Linked DNA regions of Callithrix jacchus. The protein of the gene in region 2 binds, or shares a complex with, the protein of the main gene of each other region. Links are inferred from orthologs where the notes say so. Each region holds a gene or a part of one and is shown on either strand. Other genes may lie near its edges.

What was found. Proteins that work in one complex are often made in the same cells at the same time.
Region 1: the proteins of GLB1 (region 2) and CTSA are in contact, whole or in part, in a cryo-EM structure (PDB 7KDV), measured with the Mus musculus proteins. The link is inferred for Callithrix jacchus from reciprocal best matches to the Homo sapiens genes GLB1 and CTSA. Residues at the interface, in NP_033882.1 of Mus musculus: Tyr198, Asp199, Arg202, His206, Leu229, Thr233, Leu234, Gln235, Asp236, Leu237, Lys258, Phe259, Glu260; in NP_001033581.1 of Mus musculus: Glu29, Asp31, Ala37, Lys38, Gln39, Pro40, Ser41, Phe42, Arg43, Tyr107.

What each region holds. Positions count from the first base shown.
Region 1 is NC_133506.1:41,127,814-41,131,557, reverse strand, and holds the start of CTSA (lysosomal protective protein), read right to left. Parts: upstream 2,817-3,744; 5' UTR 2,726-2,816; intron 2,583-2,725; coding exon 2,398-2,582; intron 2,245-2,397; coding exon 2,133-2,244; intron 1,903-2,132; coding exon 1,852-1,902; intron 1,769-1,851; coding exon 1,682-1,768; intron 1,440-1,681; coding exon 1,284-1,439; intron 950-1,283; coding exon 858-949; intron 184-857; coding exon 99-183; intron 1-98. Other genes in the region: NEURL2 (neuralized-like protein 2), read left to right, coding at 3,171-3,744. UniProt on the Homo sapiens protein: Protective protein appears to be essential for both the activity of beta-galactosidase and neuraminidase, it associates with these enzymes and exerts a protective function necessary for their stability and activity.
Region 2 is NC_133518.1:71,218,912-71,222,555, reverse strand, and holds part of GLB1 (beta-galactosidase), read left to right. Parts: intron 1-2,818; coding exon 2,819-2,969; intron 2,970-3,644.

The DNA of each region.
Region 1 (3,744 bases), on a different chromosome or scaffold from region 2:
TGAGGGATGGAGAACAAGGATTCCCCAAGGAGGGAATGTGATCCTGTTCTCAGGATTAGGGATGGCAGCGCTGATGCAAAGTGACGGCAGAACCTCACATTGGTCACGCATTCCGGGTCTTTATTGTCATAGAAGTTACACTTGTTTTGAGAGCAGCAGTGGGTCTGGAGAGAAGACCAGAGCCTGTAGGAGATGAGAGGAAAAGTGCATCAGCCTCTAGTGGAAAGAGGAAGGCAGAGGAGGTGAGCATACCCCCCACCTCCTACCAACCTCTCTGACCCTAGGGGACTAGGAAAGATATCACGGGGTGTGGTCTGTATATCACCTAAGCTAGCTCCCAAAGAGGTGCCCCAGGGTCATAAAAACAGGTCTCCTTTAAAATCTGATCTCTGGCTGGGCACTGTGGCTCATGTCTGTAATCCCAGCATTTTGGGAAGCCAAGGTGGGCAGATCACTTGAGGCCAGGAGTTCAAGTCCAGCCTGGCCAACATGGCAAAACCCCATCTCTACTAAAAATACAAAAAATTAGGCAGGCGTGGTGGTGTGAGCAGTGGTAGTCCCAGCTGCTTAGGGAGGCTGAGGCACAAGAATCACTTGAACCTGGGAGGTGTAGATTTCAGTGAGCCAAGATCGTGCCACTGCACTCTAGCCTGGGAGACAGAGTGAGACTCTGTCTCAAAAAAAAAAAGAAAATCTGATCTTTATTCTTTGGTTTTTTTTGGCGCTAAGTTCTTTCTGCAACTCACCAGCTGCTCATAAACCTGGGATGGGCCTGGCATATCATGTACCTGGAGGACAGACCCAAGATCATGTAACCTGCCCCACCCTAGAGATTGCCCAACTGCCCTATCCCATACCTGTTCCCCAGAAGGCCATGGTAGTAGGCAAAGTAGACCAGGGAGTTGTCATTCTGCTCATAGGAGGAGAGTCCATTGCCCACAGCCAGCCCCTGTGAAACACCCAGGGTGCTCAGCTCAGGTGGAGGATGAGGAGGAGGAGCCTCCCTCACCTAACACCCAGACCTTCAGCAATCCGGAAGCTGAAACCCAGGATGGTTTGTGGGGGCGGGTGGGTGTGGGAGGCTACTCAATGCAAAGGACAGAGCTGGCAGCCTGACAAGTGAGTTTCCTGCTATGGGAGGCACACAGACAGTCCTAGGGCAGCCACGGCAGGGAGGTTATGCAGGAAATTGGGTTGGATGGGGATGCTGACCACTCTGACCTTGCTAACTGCAAGGCCACAGTCACAAGGTGCCTCCCTTCCCTCTTGCAACTGCCCTGCACCTGAAGGTTCATGCTGGGGTCTTGCATGACCAGCACGGCCAGGGTGGGGATGTAGATGCCAGCATAGCTCTCTCCAGTCAGGAAAAGTTTGTTGTTCTTGTACTCCGGAAAGAGGCGGAAGAAATCTTGAAGGGCCTCAAAATTGCTCTGGGCGACCTGGGGACGGGAAAGCAAGACAGAGGGTAATCAGGAAGCTTTGGTATTTGGACTAGAAAGAACCTCAGCGATAATGACATCAATCCACCCTGTTTATGTAAGAGGAAGTGACTTGGCCACTATACCACAATGGCATAGGACAGAGCTAAAAGTGGACTCCAAGGCCAGGCTCTTTCTCCCATCATCGGGCCATGTATGGAGGACTGGGGAGCCTGGGGCAGATGGGCAGGCACAGGACTCACCTCAGTGTCATTGGTCGCATAAAATTTGTCATCAGAGTAGGAGAAGCCCACCCCCGCTGGGGACTCCAGGTATAACACATTGGCAATCTAGAGCGGAGGGAAAAATGAGCTAACCGCCACCCCATCCAAGTGCCCAGACACCTCCACAGGACCCACAGCTCCAGCTATACCAGGTTCCAAGAATAGGGGTTGTACTCCAGGGTGACACCATCTGGCTGGATCTGAGGAGGAGGAGATGGTTGGGTAAGTCTCATGGTGGAGGGAAAGGGCCACTATAAGAGGCACTTTACATGGCAAAACCCCTCAGAGGTACAGGCAGCAAAGCCAAAGGCACAGGAAAATCCCGATGCTCAGGAGTAAGGAAAACTTTTTGGAAAATCACAAAGTCCCTTCCTCCCTTTCCCCAGCCTTTTGCTTTGGGAACTGTGCTTTCCTGCTGCTGTCCACTCACCAGGAAGGGGCCATGCTCTGTGAGGAGCCCATCTAGGGAGCTGCAGCCGGGACCCCCATTGAGCCAAAGCACCACAGGGCTGTTCTCGGGATCCTTCTGGGACTCCACAAACCTGGGAGGGGTGTCAGAGCAGGGTTGGCGCCAAGTGGAGGGGCCCTTTCCAGCCCTCCGGGCTCCCAGGCATCCTCAGGGGTCTGCGAAACTACCCCCCACCCCTCCTCCATCATCTCTCCCCCCAATCCCGCTCAGAGACAGGGCGGCAGACCAGTAGTGGAGGTGCTTGGAGCCGGAGCCTTTGAGGTAGCCGGAGAACTGGCGGAAAGATGGCTGTTTGGCCAGCCCGGGGAGGCACTGGATCTCGTCCTGGTCGGGGGCTGCCTCGCCTAGGGGCGCCCAGAACACTAGCGGCAGCAGCAGCAGAAACAGCGGCGGCGGCGAGGCTCGGATCATCTGCGGGAGGCAGCAGAGGGGCTGTGGACTCGCTCCTCAGCGCTTCTGCGCCGCAGTCCCCGGGAAGGAGCTGAGGGCGCCTCCGCGAGGGAAACCCCGGCCCCAGCGCCAGCTCCCACCCGCGAGCCTCCTCCGCCGCGCACCGATCCCGGGCTCGGGGAACCCCTGCAGCCTCCAGTGCCAGCTCACCTCTGCTCCCCCGCGTCCTTCCTCTCCTGGAGGCGCCCGGGAACTGCAGATCATGTGTACTCCGAGTCACGTGAGCTCCGGCGCCACGTGACAGTCTTCCCCCCACCCCCCCCGCCCCTACTTCGGTGCCTACGGGCTGGGGGGCGGTGGAGGTCAATGCCGGGTCAAGGTCTGCGGGCTTCGCGGGTCGTAGCCCGGGCGCACGCGATCAGATGATCCTGGTGTGGACGGCCAAGTTCTAGGCGGGATGACTGAGTGAGCGGCGCTAGGACCCCCGGGCAGAAGCTCCGGGAAGGGAGCCACGGGGGAAATGCCTTACAAGGTCCCCTTGCGGTGACCATCCGATCCCGGCGCCCAAAATAGCCCCAGGCGCCCGCTGGCCTGCCTCATGGCTGGGAGATGGCTGCCGCCTCCGAGCCCGTGGATTCGGGTGCATTCTGGGGACCGGTGCGCCCGGAGCCCCCTCCCACCCGCTTCCATCGGGTGCATGGTGCCAACATCCGCGTAGACCCCTCTGGGATGCGGGCCACACGTGTGGAGAGCTTCGCCCACGGCGTGTGTTTCAGCCGCGAGCCGCTGGCCCCGGGACAGGTCTTCCTGGTCGAGATCGAGGAGAAAGAGCTGGGCTGGTGCGGACATCTGCGTCTCGGCCTGACTGCGCTGGACCCCGCCAGTCTGGCCGCCGTGCCCGAGTTTTCTCTGCCCGACCTCGTCAACCTGGGCCACACCTGGGTCTTCGCCATCACGCGCCACCACAACCGCGTGCCCCGAGAGGACAGCCCGGAGGCGGAGGCGGAGGCAGCGGCCCCCAGCCGACCTCCGGCCCTCCTGGTGGAACCATATCTGTGCATTGAGCAGTTTCGCATTCCCCGGGACCGCCTGGTGGGCCGGAGCCGGCCAGGGCTCTACAGCCACCTCTTAGACCAGCTCTATGAGCTGAACGTGCTGCCTCCGACCGCGCGCCGTAGCCGCC
Region 2 (3,644 bases):
CCAGCAGAGTGAACCCAAGTTCACCTGTTTATAATTCTAACACTGAGTTCTGGAAGACCAAGACGGTTCCCAAGGAACCCCGAAATCATGGGATCACACACACACAAAATGACACAGCCCAGGGCCTTGAAAGAGAGCGTCGTGATGGTAATGGATGGCTTTATGTCAGACTTTATCCCGTGCTGTCTGTGGGTAGACAGAGGAGCTGGTAGAGGGTTTCATCATTTTACCTCCTGCCACATGATTCCTCACAAAACCTTTTGTCAGAGGATGTAGGGGTTGGAGTTTTTCCTTCACTTACTAAAATGATTTCTTCAAAAAAGAAGTATGTCTCTTACCACTTTTTAGCAAGATATTCTTGTTTTTCCTAAGCCTTACATAGGCATATATAATTTTTATTTTTGTTTATTAAAACAATTTTTTCGAGTTGAAATCTTAAAGTGGGCTCAAGTGATCCTCCCACCGCAGCCTCCTGAGTAGTTGGGATCACAGGCACTGCTACCACACCAGCTGATTTTTTTTTTTTTTTTTTTTGAGACGGAGTTTCGCTCTTGTTACCCAGGCTGGAGAGCAATGGCGCAATCTCGGCTCACCACAACCTCCGCCTCCTGGATTCAGGCAATTCTCCTGCCTCAGCCTCCCGAGTAGCTGGGATTACAGGCACGTGCCACCATGCCCAGCTAATTTTTGTATTTTTAGTAGAGACGGGGTTTCACCATGTTGACCAGGATGGTCTCAATCTCTTGACCTCGTGATCCACCCGCCTCGGCCTCCCAAAGTTCTGGGATTACAGGCCTGAGCCACCGCGCCCGGCCCTGATTTTTTTTTTTTTCAGAGATGAGGTCTCACTGTTCCCCGTTGTAGTCTTCAACTCCTGGCCTCAAGTGATCCCAGTGCTTTGGCCTCCCAGAGTGCAGGGATTACAGGAGTGAGCTACTATGCCGGCTGTAATTTTTATATAATAAGAATTAGTGTTTATCTAATTCTGGGGTTTTCGGTTGTTGTTGCTTTTCAAAAGTGTTCCCACCAAGTTTGATTAGCTTGGGGAGCTGCCGTGAAAATTCATAAAAGGCCCCTCCCAAGAGGCTGCCAAGCAGGACGGTCTATATGTCCTGTGAGTTTATGGTTCTACAGACTGATTAGAAATTTATGTAGGAGATCTGGATTTTTTAGTTCTTTCCTCTTCCACAGAGCACCTTAATTCAATTATTTGTGCAAAATGTAATCATAAAAAGCTGAAAACATGAGTTATAAACAAATATACAAGGGACATATGTCAGAAATTTATTTAACTGGATAAAGAAAATGTAGTGCATATACACCATGGAATACTACACAGCCATCAAAAAGAATGAGATCATGTCTCATGTCCTTTGCAGCAACATGGATGCAGCTAGAGGCCATTAACCTGAGCAAACTAACACAGGGACAGAAAACCAAATACCCCATGTTCTTACTTATAAGTGAGAGCTGAACATCGAGCATATATGGACACAAAGAAGGGAGTAACAGACAACAGGGCTTACTTGAGGGTGGAAGGTGGGAGGAAGAGAATATGTATATCGTGTACTAGGCAGTGACAAATTATCAGTACAGCAAACCCCTATGACCCGCAGTTTACCTATATATCAAACCTGCACATGTCCCTTTGAACCCAACATAAAAGTTTTTTTTTTTTTTTTTTTTTTTTTGAGACCGAGTTTCACTCTTGTTACCCAGGCTGGAGTGCAATGGTGCGATCTCGGCTCACCACAACCTCCGTCTCCTGGGTTCAAGCAATTCTCCTGCCTCAGCCTCCCAAGTAGCTGGGACTACAGGCACGCGCCACCATGCCCAGCTAATTTTTTGTATTTTTAGTAGAGACGGGGTTTCACCATGTAGACCAGGATGGTCTCGATCTCTTGACCTTGTGATCCACCCATCTAGGCCTCCCAAAGTGCTGGGATTATAGGCGTGAACCACTGCGTGCAGCCCAACATAAAAGTTTTTAAAAATGTATTTAACTTATTACTGAGAAAACTAGCCAGATTGTAAAGCTAATTCAAAGGAGAATTTGAGGAAGGGAGGTTTATAGTCAGTCAAGAAAGGCATGTTCAAATAAAGTTATCCTTAGAGATAAAGCTGGTTAGTATCATAAAGGGCAGCGAATGAGAGAGTAACCTTTGGAGTTGTCTTCTCTGTATGACAATAATCATTTGTTTCTCTCCCAGGCAGTAATCTACAAATTAATCTGTAACTTCAAAGTTTTTCCCTTAATCATTAGTAAATACTAAGTCAAACGAAATACTTCCCCTGGAGAATGAAAGGAGCCTCGGTGGGCCCATTGGGCATCCTCCATTATGGCGTGGAAAGGAAATGCGGTCGCCCTTTTTCCTTATGTTCAAATTCTGGATAATTTTTCTTTTCTTGATTTTGACACAGGGTCTTACTCTGTCATCCAGTCTGGAGTTCAGTGGTGCAGTCACGCTCACTGCAGCTTCAGTCGCCTCAGCTTCAGCAAACCTCCACCTCAAGCCTCCAGAGTAACTGGGACACAAGCATGCATCCTAGCTAATTTTTTGTGTTTTTTGTAGAGACAGGGTTTCACCATGTTGCCCAGGTTGGTGTCAAAATCTTGGGCTCAAGCCATCCGCCCACCGTGGCTTCCCAGAGTGCTGGGATTAGAGGCCTGAGCCACTGTGCCCAGCCTTGGATAACTTTTCTTCCAAAGCTCCTTTGCCCTCTTATCCATGCGTTAGCCTCAAGAGGCCCCTTCCCTACCTCTCCTTCTTCTTGACTCTGCCAAGTATCCCAGAGGGGGCTGTGTGTGTCTTGGCAGGTATGTGCCCTGGAACTTCCATGAGCCGTACCCAGGACAGTACCAGTTTTCTGAGGAGCATGATGTGGAATATTTTCTTCGGCTGGCTCATGAGCTGGGACTGCTGGTTGTCCTGAGGCCCGGCCCCTACATCTGTGCAGAGTGGGAAATGGTGAGTGAGGCTGGCCTGGGCTCTGACGGCCTGGTGTGTTGGAGCTGGCAGGCAGCAGCTCTGGGGCAAAGGGAATGAAAGCAAAACTGCATTCCAGATGGCATGGAGCCTGTGACTGTACCCAGCACCGGTGTCTTTTACCATGGCAAGGTGCCCAGATAGAGAGAGACAGAGAAGCAGGCCTGGGTCAGGACATGGACTCTCCTCTTGGTGGTCACTCACATAACTCAGTTTGCTCATCTGTAAGAAGCAGTTGATGGGCCGGGTGTGGTGGCTCACACCTGTAATCCCAGCACTTTGGGAGGCCAAGGCAGGTGGATCACAAGGTCAAGAGATTGAGCCCATCCTGGCCAACATGGTGAAACCCCATCTGTACTAAAAGCACAAAAATTAGCTGGGCGTGGTGGCATGCGCCTGTAGTCCCAGCCACTTGGGAGGCTGCGGCAGGAGAATTGCTTGAACCTGGGAGGCGGAAGCTGCAGTGAGCCGAGGTCACGCCACTGCACTCCAGCCTGGATGACAGAGTGAGACTCCGTCTCAAAAAAAGAAAAAGAAGCAGTTGATGGTGTCTTCTCTGTCGCCTCACAGGGTAGTTGTGAAATTAAAAGGGACGATCTTTATAAGGGCTTTGGTCCTCAGAACATTGCATTCCTGCAGACTGATCTTAATTGTACC